Linked DNA regions of Alligator mississippiensis. The protein of the gene in region 2 binds, or shares a complex with, the protein of the main gene of each other region. Links are inferred from orthologs where the notes say so. Each region holds a gene or a part of one and is shown on either strand. Other genes may lie near its edges.

Region 1 (7,317 bases), on a different chromosome or scaffold from region 2:
AGTAGTTAAAGCTACAACCACTTCATAGGAACAGGCTCTAGTTGTTGTCCTTAGCTGGCTCTCTCTAGCAAAGATCCCTTTTCTTATGCTTTGTTTTATGCCCCTAGAGTTCTCATTACATCAGTTTATCAGATCTGGCCCCAAACTTCCATCCATGCCTGTCTTTATTCTCTCAAAGTGTCCTCATTTACCTGTAGTCCATTCTGGGTGGGTTTTCCTAGATTACCCACTCCTGTCTGCCACCTTTCCACTTGCATTAATGCATTCATAGTAATGCCTTTCTGCTGTCTTAACTTCTTTCTCTCTCCTTGCTTAAGTTGCAGATTCCTGAAAATTTGATCTGTGTTCGTAAATAAGAACATGCTCAAACATATCCCATCCCCTACTCTGTATTGTATTTCCTTAACATACTACTACGTGATTCCCTGCAGTCCATCCCAGGGGCGTGGTTGAGTAGTACAAGGAAGATAATCTTATAATGAGGATAGCATGGGATCCACGGGAGCATCTTATTAGAGGAAGTAACTGAAGTGCGGTAGTTAATGTACAGTCATGTGTCCACTGTTTTCACTGCAGAAATGATGTTTGGGAAGATGTCACCTACTCCCTATTTGAGGAGTCCATGCAAAGTACGTGTCCAAAAGCACGATAACATCAAAACAAGTTCAGTCCAGATCATTATTTCTCAGAGACCTCATTTACTTTCTCCCCTTCCAAGTGAAAATAGCCAAATAAGTAGCGTGGCTTTCAACAGGGTCTAGAAATCACACAGGGGCAGCGTTTCTTGAAGATCGGTAAAGTACATATCAATGTACAACATGTACCTCATTCAGTAAGGGGACTCAGTGATACAGGTACGGGTTAAATGTTCCTCCTATTTCAATATAGCCCAAATAAATATCAGCTAGGGAAAAGCAGAATCTGCATCACACGCACATCAGACACATGGGACATCCTAATGAAAATAGGAAGCCACGCTGCAGCAGAAGTCCTCCATTCTGTTATAACTGAGCTGTGCTCCTGATGGACTTTTTAACCATTCAGTATGCTGTTTTAAAGGAGTGGAGAAACCAGTAACCTGACCCTCCCTCAGTATTACAAGGAGATGTCTATTGAGGAAACTGGACTCCAAACACCAACAACTTCACAGTGGAAAATGAAGCTAATGAAATCAAGAAAAGTCACAGTCCTGCCATGCTTTCACAATGATGGCACAGAGAATGGGACTGAGCATAGCATTCGTTCCTTGAAAGGCTGTCTGTAAGCATTACAACATCCACTTGTGCCTATAGCGAGCTAAGCCGTAGCGCGAGCTCACTGCTGTCACTTTTTCTGCTTTCCAGCTCCATCCTTCTGTCCTGTTTCAGGTTAGTTGTAAAGTCCACAGGCAAATTACAGTGCCTTTATTTTGTGGTTTGTATAATGCCTAACATAATGGGCCTTTGGGGGTTACTGCAATGGAAATAATACCACCAGCATTAAAAAATGTAAACAGTTTAAAAAAAAACTGCTGGATAGCTTTTCTTGTGGATTTCCTCTCAGGATAGACCCAAAATCTCGAACTCATTTTCATAGAAGAATTCCCCCCCCCAAAAAAAGACCTCTGTTAAGCCAATTATTCTAGGAAGTGGAAAATGACCACCAGTGACGTTGCTTGGAAAGTGAGGCCCTTTTAAACATAGCCAATCCAAAGGCTAAATTTAAGTATGTTCTTTCTAAGAGGGGGCTCTTGGGAATGAAACACTGACAAACTCTGAGGATAATTGTAAATGACTTAGTGGTACCTATGCATGTTAAAAATGTCCTTTCAAACACTGGCTTTTCCTTTTTACTGAGTTCCTCTTGGGGTAGAAAAAGCAGGGAGTTAACTTCATGGTCTGAAAAACTTCCTCTTTTTGCATGAGTTTGGCTAGGATCCTGTCGTGGAACAGGCGACTTGACAGTACAGCACTGATCGCCTGATCTAGGAAGCCAGGGTTTCCATACTTCTGATTTGGCTCCTGGTTATTCAGTCTGTTCATTGTAGTCCCTAAATCTATCCTCTTCACTTCCCAGAACAACCAGAATAGCTGTTGTAGGCCAAACAAGGTCACAAGGCCCCTAATTCTACAACACAGAATATCTCAAGATACAAATTTGAGAGTAATTTTTCATAAGGGACGTGTACATAGTTACTTCTGTCATTGACCTTTATGGCATTGTTGCTGTTAAGTGGTTGAAAGGAATAATGTCATTTAGTTGTTTGTTGGCGCCTTTCTGCACTGAGGTAGATTGGAAACTTTTGTCAGCACCTTTCTAGAGAACTTTTGTTTAAACAAATGGCTTGAGACTAGTGCTAACATGGTTGCCTTGGATTATATAGATAAAGCCCAATTTTGTAAGCCAGCATGGACATTTGTGGGATAGTGTACTAGTACTGCTAATGGTGTGTGAAATCTCAGAGCAGGCTTGAGAGCAAAAAGGTTAAGCTGTCTCGGCTAATAACCATAAGAAAATATTTATACATGTTTCCTGTACTGCATCGCTAAGTGTAACTCTGCCTCTCATTTCCTGCGTGAGTCTATTCTTTAAATATCTTGGCTGGGGCAAATAATGCCCTTTTCCAACGAGTCTCTTTCTCTCTCAGAAGGACAAGTCTGAACGAATATAGAATATATATTCCCCAAATCTGAGTGTTCCCTAGCAAACTGTTTCAGCTCAGGAGTCAATCTACCTATCGACTTCATCACTGCAGCTGGGGAAAGAGAAGATGATGTTCTGTGGGAGACGGTTAGAGCCATTGCAATCTCTGATAACCGATGGGGTGGAAACGAGGCCTTTCCTTGCGGCAGCCTAGCCCAGTCCCCCGTTCTGGGTGGACTGGACAGCAGTCAGTTGCTAAGTGGGTGCAACTATTCGATCCCTTCTCAGTTCCCTTCGTCTGGGTACAGTCTAGTCGTGGTTCCCAGGCGCACGCTCCTTCCTCAGCCCGGCTGCCTTGGTCTCAAAATCCAGGGCCTCAGATGCCCTGAGACCATAGTAACAGGTCGAATTCAACCTGGGTTTGTGCACTGCAGCTCCCTTGGAGGTGACCTGGCAGGGAAGTGAGGAAGATGAGCATCAGCAAAGGAACACTTTAACCATAGTCACTTTATTATTTAAAAACATATTAGGAGAGCTACAGACCTTTGCAAAATAGCAGAAGTCCTGAGATGCAGCCCCATCTAGTTTAATCTCATTCCTTCCATAACATGCTTCTGAATAAAGCTGTACAGTCACGCTTCAAGCCCCAAATGCCCGATTCTATAACAGAGCTTCGTACAGAATCTGGATATGAAAGACAGCAAAACACTCTCCTTGATTTATTTGCCCACAAATTTCTGTTGCCTTCTGTTCTCCCTTGTGACCTGAGAATGTTTTTATTAGGCCCAGTGGGATAAATCCACTACTTCCAAACCCCCAGTCAATTTGTCATATCAATTAAGATAATCATATGCAATCCTAAATATATTCCAGGCTACACAGACCTACCAACTTTTACAAGCGCTATTTTTTGATAAAGGTAACATCCTATTAACAGAAGGAGAGAGAAATTCTTGATCACGCTCTTAAAGGCCAGAGGAAAGAAGTCTATTGCATTAATAATCACTCAGCTGCTTAAGAGAAAATCCCATTCAATTTACTTGGCCCACCAAAAATGAAATCACCGTTGCCAATATAAAGCATGTCTATTCACATATCTTCATAAACCCTAAAGGTACAGCTTCTTTGAATCGCTTTTATGGCAGTGCAGACTTCAAACACATACAGTACCTTTGACAGGACTTTCTGAACTCATTTTTACTTTCTCAAAGTAATATCTAACACACATTTTTGCTTCCTCACTCATATTTGGAGCGTTTTCATTTTTGCTTTATATTTATAAATAGGTATGCAACACACTAGGCATGCCAGAGAAATGTGGTGTAAAGTATCAACGTATATGTCTGCAACCGGGTTCTTTCTAATGAAGAAATGACAAAGGCTGTATGATCCTTTTAAGTATTCTGCCACTGTCATTACCTCATTATAACATGACTCAACTTTATCAGCAACACTTTTTAATTCATAATTATTGGTGGTGTCTTATCATCCCACTTTGTCAGTTGTGTGGTAAGGAAATTGTTGTCTAGCAAGTTTGTCTCTCTGACGTGTAACTTCAGGTGTAACCAGCTCGGTGATGTTGCTGCTTTTAGTACTAACTTAATACATAGAAATGACACTCAAGCAAACTAGATGACGCTGGGTGGGTGCCTTGCATTTTTAGGATTGTCCTGAGATTCAAGAGTTTGTTGTGCTGGGCAGCTTCATGTTTTTGGATATAATAGCAGCACTTGAATGTCTCACAACATTGAGGACCCATTCCTATACATGAATGCAAGTGTTCTGAACTGGGGTAAGTTGCTTCTGGATAGTGTACTGTGATGGAAAGTGTACTTTGATGTCCAAAGGGACAATAGAGGGTCTAGGAGAACCTTAAAATGGTGGTAATTTTTTGTTTTTATGAAGTAAGGGGTATTTTGGGGGTGGGGGGTGGGGGGTGCGTGAGAGAAATTTAACTCATTTTTTCCAAGGGCTATGTGACATGAGAATCATTAACACTGGGTGTTTTCAGAGGTGAAACAGGTACGGGGACTTCCATGAATATTGGTGTTAGTGAATGATAATTTGTGCTAGTGAAATAGTCTCCCAACATTCCTTGGCAAGAAGGACCTCAAACAAAACTGCATTTTAAGCATGCTTTCCTCTTCCTCTGAAACCACAGGCAGTGTTGATCCCTGCCAGAGGGGGGATGCCTGGTGCGATGCAATGAGGAGCAGTCGGATGAGGTCCTGTAGAGGTTCTCGAGTGCGGGGCCATGTACAGTGCTGGGTGAGTCGGGCACAGCGGATGCTCCTGCAGCATGTTCCCCCAGGGAAGGAACTGGTACTTTTCATGCTGGATTCTGCCGGGAAAACAAATGAGCTTTTCATGTAGCTCCTTGGGCCTGCTACTGTAAGCCCCCATGACACTTCCTTCGAAGAGAAATATGTAATCATTTCAAGGAAAATGAAAAGGGACATTTTTTCATGTGGTAGATTTTCTGTCTGTAAAGTCTTCATGGGGTACAGAGAATTGCTCTTCTGTTCTATTGCTGACCCTGACTAGCCTTTGCTAGGTACACACAAAAATTGGACATAAAGAACATAAGAGGGTTACTCTCATTTTTCCTTTAGAAAATCTACATTAAAAAAAAAAAGAATAAATAGAAATTACTTCAGTTATTTTTTTCCAGGAACCTAAAAAGAAAAGTCCATCATTTCACATTGGCCCATTGTTTGTTTCTCTTTGTATATTTTTTTCTTAATTTGAACTATGATGATTGTTCAATTGTAATGGGTCAGTAAGTTGGGTTTTTTTGTATTGGTATTAGATGAGCATTAGGTCTGTCTGTGACAACTTGCAAAGTGAGCAACAACTCACTGTAAGGGTGGCACAACCAAGTTCCAGAATAATAATGCCCTTTTCTCGTACTTACTGTATCAGAGCTATGTCTTATATTCTGAATATACTCACAGCCCATTTCAATTTACTCTCTAGTACTAAGAGCTAGCATGACATTTTTATTAGTACATTAACCCCTGCAAATAGGCCATCATAGTAGTCTCTTATACAGTAATGATAGACTAGATGGTGGGACCAAAAGAAAAGATATTGTTCAGATAATCTAGAACACATCCTGTATCAGATTATACAAACTGCATCTCAAATAACTTTATAGACTGCAGAAATGTCAGAAGTTAGAGATCGTGCTTATAAACATATGCCTAGGCGTGCACATTGAAGGTCTTTGTGTGATGGTCGTAGGACTCAGTAAAAACAGATTTATCAGGCTAACAGGACCTCTTACACATACAGCGCGATCCAGAGGATTGATGGTTGCCTACCATGTCCTGCATGGCAATTGGACCAAAGCACTCAGTCATTACCCCAGTAACACTAAGGGAGAAATTGAAGAGGGGCATCTCCAAGTTAATAATGTGTACATTAAACTCATTGATTTCAGTGGGATTTGTAGAGGTATACTGAAGATGAGCATTGGGCTCTATGGGGCATATTTTAAGGCTCTATTTTTTTCTGCTTGCCTTTAAATGGGAGTGCAATCTCAGCGTGTGCTTTGACCACCTCCCTCCTTCGGCCTCTCATGTCCTTGCACTAGTTGTGTCCTCTCACTGCTTACTTTTGAGCCATTCCTCACATTTGAACTATATATCTCGACCATAGCTGTCTCCTTGTGTCTTGTCTCATCCCACCTATTCTGCATACAACTGCGTCCTGACGTCATCGTCGTCCCTCCATTCTTCCTCTTCCACTAAATCACCTTCCTTATTTTGGCTCCAATTTTTGTCTCCACCCTTATTTCCTCCTGTTATTCCCTATAGGACCTCACCTAGCAGCGTTCTTTGTGACCTTCTGAATTCTATGCAAGAATTGCAATTTTTTTTATTGGTGATAATTATTTAAATGGTACACATTTCTGAGTTGTGCTTCTGGTTCATCCTGTAAACATGCATATTAGCAGCATACATTTTCAAAATGTTTTATTTCTCCTTTTTTTTTGTTTTTTAAACCAACATTTTCCAGCACAAGAAGACTTCAGTTTAAGTCCCGCATTGAAGTCTTAAATCACGTGTAATGTCGTACCATTCACCAGTGGCAATCGTGACTTTTTTTCTTGTCTATCCGCTCATTTTGTTACAGTTGAACCAGGGCCCAAGAGTCCCTGGTAGTTACCATAAAAGGGTAAATTTTGAGCTGAGTTCTGCCACTGGTGTCAGAAGTCACTAAACTTGCTCAGAGGTTGATTCTCTTCTCTTCTTCCATCACTGTGCAAAGATTTCTGCCTTTATCTACACAGTAGTTTTAGTGTGACACCAGCCTTCCTATATTGCACCCAGTAGATTTAATATTGCTAGTCTGCTGGAACTTATTGGTTTTCTAAAGCTATATTGGTTGAAATATGAATAGACTTTTTAGATTTAGCAGGGCTGCATAACCACCAGTGCAGTTTATCAAAGTTACTCTGTTCCTCCTATTACTCTCAATATCTGTCGTAATATAAATGGCTAGACTCCCTTCAATTAAATACTGACTTCCTAGTTTTCCTAATGGTGGTATCATATCACCTCTAATACTGCTCTTGTTGAAAAATAACTTACACAAAAATAGTCCAAAATAGAAACTTCAAACCTCAACACATTTTAATTGAACATCTGTGTCTGAATCTGTTCAAAAGGAAGAATTTTGAAAAATATGCTG
Region 2 (7,337 bases):
ATGGCTACCGATCTGGAGGTCCCCTATCATGTCATCCCCTGTTGCCAATACCAGATCCAGTATGGCATTCCCCCTAGTGGGACCATGCACCTCCTGTGTCAGGTGGAGGTCCTGTACACAGGTTAGAAACCTGCGTGAGCGATGGGACCTTGCTGTCTGCGTCTCCCAGCAGATGTCCGGGTAGTTTAGGTCCCCCATGACTACCGCCTCTTTAGCTTTTATGGTCTCCAAGAGCTGCCTCAGGAGCCCCGCATCTATTTCTTCCCCTTGGTGTGGAGGTCTGGAGCAGACCCCTACCACCAAATCCCTTTCTCCTTGCCCCCCATGTAGCCTAACCCACAATCCTTCTACTTCCTCAACCTCGGATTCTGTCTTGATGAGGGTTGATGTATATTGCTCACTGACATAAAGTTCAACCCCCCCCCCTTTCTTCCCCGACCTGTCCTTTCTGTACAATCTATAGCCCTCAATATGTACCGCCCAGTCATGGGATGAATCCCACCAGGTCTCTGTTAGCCCCACTAAGTCATAGGTGTTTAGTGCAAGCAGGAGCGCTAGTTCATCCTGCATTAGTATATAGGCACTTGAGCCCTGCGACTGGTGCCTTTGCTGCCCCCCCGCTCCGAGTCCCAAGGGGATTCACCAAGGGCAAGTCATGCCTGACCAACCTGATGGCCTATGATGAGATGACTAGCTCTGTGGATGTCGGAAGAGCAGCAGACATGATATACCTTGACTTTAGCAAGGCTCTTGATATAGAAGATTTAGAGTTGGAAAAACTTAGAGTTGGAAGGAACCTCAGGAGGTCATCTAGTCCAATCACCTGATCAAATTAAGACCATCTCCAACTAGATGACTCTAGCCAGGGCTTTGTCAAGCTGGGCCTTAAAAACCTCCAATGAAAATGGATAGAGGGCTGGGGCACATGGCTTCTGAGGAGAAGCTGAGGGAACTGGGCTTATTTAGTCTGCAGAAGAGAAGACTGAGAAGGAGTTTAATAGCAGCCTTCAACTACCTGAAGCGGGGTTTCAAAAGGAATGGAGTTAGATTGTTCTTCATGACAGAAGATGACAGAACAAGGAGCAATGGTGTCAAGTTCTTGGAACCACACGAATTAAAGCACCTCCACCCCGCCGCCTCCCAGAGCAAATCTGTAAATGCCCTTAGTGTTAAAACTGTGTTCTGATCAGTCACATGGTACTGTTTACTAGGATCTGTGTCATGCACAGCTTGCTGATTGTTAGTCCCAGCCCCGTACCTTACTGGAGTCTTGAACCAGCTATGGTGTGGTATGGTATGGTGCCAGGACTGTTACCAATGATCAGCTGATTGCCCTGGGACCTTCTGGAGTTGAAAGCACCTGGCTTTCCATGTGATCTTGGAAGAATCTGACAAGTAAAAAATCCAGGATTCTTACCCTTGACATGTGACTTTCCTTGTCTTATCTAGAGGCTTGGTACATCAGAGGGATCCATGGCTGATATTATGGCTTAGTGAGGACTGTAGATTGCTTATTATCTCTGTGGAACAGTCTAGTGTTGGTCAAATGCATAATATTTAATATGATTTGGAGATGCTCCTTGTGCAAAAAATAGGGACTTTGCTACAATGTGAGAACACTTAGAATGTTTTACTGGTTAAACATGGGGTTACTCTCATTTTTAAGTGCATTTAATACATGCTAAGTGTAATATGCAATGTGGCTGTAAGTTGCTATTTGCTTCTAAGTCAGAGCCCTATAATCAGGACGTTCCTTCAGCTACAGAGTCTTCACCTTTAATTTACTCTAAGTCCTAGACACCATTATTTTAACCAAGCTTAACAGGCATATATGAGCACTGTACATTCTTCCCTTGATTTTTTTTTCTTCAGTTTTTTGATTGATCTCAGTGATTATTGCTCCTTATTTCTCTACCTTTTCCACATTGTCATTACCTATACTTACCTTCCTGTGGTCTTGAGATTTATTTCTGGATGTGAGGTTAACTAATTATAATAAATATCAGTTTCCTCTATATCCATAAATATGACTGAACAGAGGTGCAGCAGGGCAGCTCTGTACCTAGGTCAGCCACGACATCTGGGGCAGCATGAGCTGCCACCAAGCCAATAGAAGTGGTGCAATTACCTACAGGAATGACTATTTCTGTGCCCCCCATGAAGGTGGCACCTGGGGTTGCTGCCCTATTGTCCTTCCTATCTATGTCTCCTTTGTTACACTACTATGGCTAAATCAGGATGAATAAGGAAAACCTGAAGTAAAACTACTTTTATCAAAGATGCAAAAAATTCATCTCCATCCCAGTCTATTTCAGCTTCTAGATCTACAACAATCTGTCCATTTGCTGGTTCACCCAGACTTTGCTTAAACTCAAGCTATGCTCAAATGAAAACTGTACTGAGCATTTATGACTCAAAAATATCTAGGACTCTTATTTGTCACAAACTGGAGCAAACAGCTTTATATTTCAACAATTGCTTATACATATTTATTCATTATGTTCTTTGAGGATGATGAGCTTTCTTATCAGTGAACGTGACTTGAAGAGGTCTCAGATCTTAATAGCTTTGATTCCAATTAGAAATAGAATACATTCTAAGACCTTTTAAATCCATCATTTTATTGTTAATGTGGCACAACAATAAATAGCTGATGGTGTTGGGAAGTTCAACAGGAATCTGCTGTTTGATAGTAAACCAGTTTATTCCTTTAGCTTACGTAGTCCTAAATCTGTGACCATGACAAATTTAATATCCTCTGAGAGCTAATTCCTAGGGACTTACTAAAATTGCAATTTTGTAATTTTCATGGACACTGAGATTTTGGGTAGGCTCTGTGATAAAGTGAAGGCTCTGTGCTTTTGGCAGGCTCCCTGGAGCGGGGTGGGGGGAATTTACCAATAATAAAAAGCTGGCTCCCTTTGGGAGGGGTGAGGGTCAGGGCTGTATGATAGACAGCCCTTGCAGCCAATCAATGGTGAGGGGGAAGACCACTCGGGCCCTTGGTCAATAAGACACAAGGGGGGGGGGGGCTGCCTCACTTGGCCATGAAAATGGTTGCCAGCCCTAATCTGCCTGCAAAATTGACCAGCAGCCACCTTGAGTTCACTCATTACCAATTTTGCTGTAGACAGATCCTTTTCATTCTACTTATTCAGAAGTCTCTTATAGACTTTATAGAATTTACATGCCTAAGAAAAGGTTGAATACCTTTTTATTGTTCATGTTTGGGTCTATCAGACAGTCCTGGTCTGGTAGAACAGTACGAAAAGGTAATAAAAGACAAACTACATTTACTGATGATGAGTTTGAACTGGTACTCTACCTTCTTCAAGTTAGAGCCCTGTGTTTTCATTTTGTTCTGACAGAGAAATAAATATTTGGCTTGCCTTGGAAGCTCATAAACTTAAAAAGTATTGATGATGAATTGATAAGAGATGCCCTTTGATTTAGCACCTGAGCTTTTCATTAGTCAATTGAATTTTTCACTTATTCTATTTGGCTTCTGGTAATGGCTCAATGCTTTTATCTGATGAGTTTTTATGTGGCATAAGGCCTCCTCTACACATGCATGTAAAAGCACAATAGGATCTAATCTGTGGTCCACACAATATAGGATCTAAAATGTGATCCTTCTGCATGACAGGAGGCGTGATTGTGGGATCCAGATTAAGATCCTATCACACCTTATTGCTGTACAGGGGGACCTGGGATCATGTTCCTGGGATCCCTTTATACCAGCAAGTAGGGCACTTGCAGCCCTGGTGTGTGGGATGTAGCCAAGGCTGTGAGTTCCAGCAGCGGTGGGACTATGACTACCCAGTTATGGGGAGCATGATATGATTCTCACAGCTAGGAGATCACAGCTTCTACGATCTCCCAGCTATGGGGGCATACTATGGATGCTTGGGGCTGGAAGCTTACAGTCACACCCTGCAGCTGCCAGGACCCAGAGTCTTGCAGCTGCTGGGCACTGCAAGGGCTGAGAGTCCCATCAGCCTCAGCTGGGCATGGTGCACCCCTGTGGCTGCAGGGGATACCCTGCTAGATATGCAAATTTAAAGCTGAATAGCAACCAGCTATAAAGTTAGTACACATTTTTTAGGTCTAACTTTATAGCTGGTTGGACCCTTTTATGGTGTGATAGGCACTTTTCATGTGTAGCTGGTCTCAGTTTAATTGCCCAATTAACCAGTTAATTGCACAATTGCAGTAACATGTGGAGAGGGCCTAAGAAGAAGAATGGTTTAATTCACTCTGGTTCCTACTGGATTGATGTCTGTATCATACTGCAACAACCATGGATCATGCATGGATTGCCCATATTTCCTGGTACAGCGCAAGAAGAATGAACTGGCCTCTCACCACAAGTGTGCAGTCCATTCAGCCCATTAATAAGGTACAGCTACTAGTGGGGTGTGAAGGAGCTTATATTATTTTTGCTTGCTTACACTATTTCTAGTTTTCTTGTCTGATAGCAGTAAAAATACTTTGTAACATATATTCAAGTCAGATGAAACTCTCCGTTCCCATTTTTATTGCTATTGTCTATTAAGATACTTGTGTACCATACCAAGAGTTTCTCTTTTCTTTAAAAAGTTATAGATTATTTTGTAATTCAGTAGTGCTCACATAGAAATATTTATATCCTGTGAAATCAATAAGCTATTAAAAGCTATTAAAAACTCTCCCCCTTGCCTGATCCTCCCTCCAGTGAAGTGGGGGAGGAGAGGTTGTTATGCATAAGTATCAGAATCATAAAAAGCAACAGGAGGAAGTCACTTAAGCTAAACACTCCAGCTCTTCAGCTTTTGGGGGTTTGAATCTCAGTGGAGAAAAGAAAAATTGTAATGGAAGATGCCAGAACTATTTCATCCATTTGTGGCATTTCTGTGTCTAATTTAAAAGGTCTTACTTGATCCTTAGAGGAATGCTACCAACTTGAATTTTGTCAATTAAAAAAAAAAAGTAGATACAGGAAATTGCATGAAAAAACCCCTGTAAAACTTGAGTTCTTCCTTTTCATGCTCTCCATTGATTTCTTTAGGGCTGGACCTGAGGGTGGCAGTTAGCAGTTTAGGAAATAATTTGCACCTACTCCATAAAACATGAACAGCTATGCTGACTCGTGCATCTGTGTCATGCATAATTGACAGCAGCCTTTATTCATGAGATCTGATTCTCCCCTCCATCCCCCAAAGTCTTTTCTATAAACTGTGTCAATATTCAGCTTGTCTTTTTCAGATTTCTAAAAACAATGCTTGGGCATGTTGATCATGTTTTTAAGTGGAAACTGTACCTATAATACGTGCTTATATAGACTGCACCAAAATCAAATAATTTACCAGTTAAGGAATAAGGCAGCCTTGGACATAGTAAATAGAATAGAATAGAAGGTGTGCTTCTCGATACACTAAATAATCAAGGTGGTAATTAGCATCTTATAATGCAAAGCCACAAAAGGCTATCTCTGTGATCCAGTCTGACCCCCTTCATTTTCAAGAAATGATACATTTCATCTTGACTGCTAATGCATTTTTAATCTAATCAACTCATGAATATCTGCACTGATGGTATCCTGACCCCCTCCTTTAAGTATGTTTTACCTTCATCCTATTTATTATAACTAGTAACTTGCAGTATACTTAATTCATATGCTGCATTTTTTCTTCTGTAACTATTGCTGTATCTCCTAAAAATATGAGGAAATATTTCTTCTTTTATATAATTATCCCAGTTATGTCACATGTTAGACTTGAGTTATCTGTTTGGACACAGTGATCATTTGCCTTTTATTGGTTTATTCTTTATTCTTCCCTCTTCCCCCCCCCCTCCCCTGCCTCCCCCTCCCCCCCGAATCTGAATTTGCAAACTAGTTCAGGAAATGTTCAATTTACTTATTTTGGTCCAGTTTTTGCTTCATTGAAAGTCTCCCAGGCTCACTTCACTACTAATCATATATATTCATATTGCTGTCTGATGAATTTTTGTAGTCTTGCAATAGTACCTCTTCCAAAACTGAAATCAACACAGTATTCTAAATATTGTTACCCAGGGCTATGGAAAGTAGCACTGTCATCTCCATCTTTTATATGAAATTACCTGCATCTGTATCCAAGAACAGAGCTGGATTTTATTGTCTTATTATATTTTCCTTGCTTTAGTAGCACACACTAAGGTTTTGCTTTCTGTTATTGTTCCCCATTCTTTCCTGGGCTTAGTACTTTCCAAGTAGTTTCCTTTCAATTTCTGTCACTAGTATTTCCTTCTTTATCCATATAGTACAATGTGACTTTACATGGACTAATACGCAGTCTCATTTCATTGTGTGCAATCTACTTTCCTATTTTGAAGTAGCATACAAGCTTGGTACTTTCTTTCTGGGATTTCTACATCTCCAATAGACTGATATTTAGATTGTTAATAAAATGTTGTAAATAGGGATCCTGGTAGTGAACTCTGCAGTACTCCTATGTGATTTTTCTAAGTCTGTGTCCAAACATTCAAATCAACCAGTTGAACATCAGCAGTTGAAATTCAAACAGTTGAATTTTTTTTTTCCAAATGGCTTAAACTGCATATAAGTGAAAAGGGGATCTGCATGTTTTGCAGACCAGCCTGCAATGTGAAAAGGACCTAGCCAGGGGGACCCAAACCACACATCCCATCATGTTTTGCAGGCTCCTGTCTGCCTGGTTATGGGAGACAGCAGCCCAAGGTCATAGCTTAGGGCCAGCAGACTGGTGCTTCAAAAGACTCTGCTTCCCCATTCTCCACACCTCCCCTCCAACAACATCCCTTCCCTCCCTCGGCTGTCAGGCTGTCATGCACTAAACCTATGTGTCTGTGGTGCTACATACTGCGTAGCCGCACTTGTCTGGATGCAACCAAACTGTGGGGATCTGGCCCCATGAGATTCTACTCTCACCCCTGCATGGACATGGCCCAGTGTCCTAGGTTGGATCTGCGGTGAAGGGATAGGGGAGCCAGGGACACTGGTAATGATAACTGCCAAAACTATTTATAAACCCAGAAATGGCTCTGAAGCAACCATAACTTCTTTAATTGTAGCGCTTTGTTATGAAAGTCTGAAAAATCAGAGGTTGGCATGAAGAAAGTGTCGGCAGATTTAATATGTAGTTGATTCATAAAAAACATGAAGGTGAGACCACGCTTAATTTCTTGAGCTATGACAAGTTTATGCTAATAATATTTCAAGTGTAAGATAAGTTTTATACTTAATAGGTATAAAAGATTGAGTTTATTTTCCCTTTGACTGGTCTGTTATCACTTTTCATGATTTTTCTCTCATAATAATGTTCTTTAGTATATGATGA

Evidence for each region.
Region 1: the proteins of SNTG1 (region 2) and TRPV3 are in contact, whole or in part, in a crystal structure (PDB 7QQN), measured with the Homo sapiens proteins. The link is inferred for Alligator mississippiensis from reciprocal best matches to the Homo sapiens genes SNTG1 and TRPV3. Residues at the interface, in NP_001274742.1 of Homo sapiens: Arg62, Gly66, Gly67, Phe68, Gly69, Leu70, Ser71, Ile72, Lys73, Gly74, His78, Ser85, Lys86, His118, Glu119, Val122, Arg126; in NP_659505.1 of Homo sapiens: Pro786, Glu787, Thr788, Ser789, Val790.

The regions. Positions count from the first base shown.
Region 1 is NC_081837.1:2,417,098-2,424,414, forward strand, and holds the start of TRPV3 (transient receptor potential cation channel subfamily V member 3), read left to right. Parts: upstream 1-4,241; 5' UTR 4,242-4,414; intron 4,415-4,783; 5' UTR 4,784-4,876; coding exon 4,877-4,890; intron 4,891-7,317. UniProt on the Homo sapiens protein: Non-selective calcium permeant cation channel. It is activated by innocuous (warm) temperatures and shows an increased response at noxious temperatures greater than 39 degrees Celsius. Activation exhibits an outward rectification.
Region 2 is NC_081826.1:76,377,359-76,384,695, reverse strand, and holds the start of SNTG1 (gamma-1-syntrophin), read left to right. Parts: upstream 1-4,247; 5' UTR 4,248-4,399; intron 4,400-7,337. UniProt on the Homo sapiens protein: Adapter protein that binds to and probably organizes the subcellular localization of a variety of proteins. May link various receptors to the actin cytoskeleton and the dystrophin glycoprotein complex.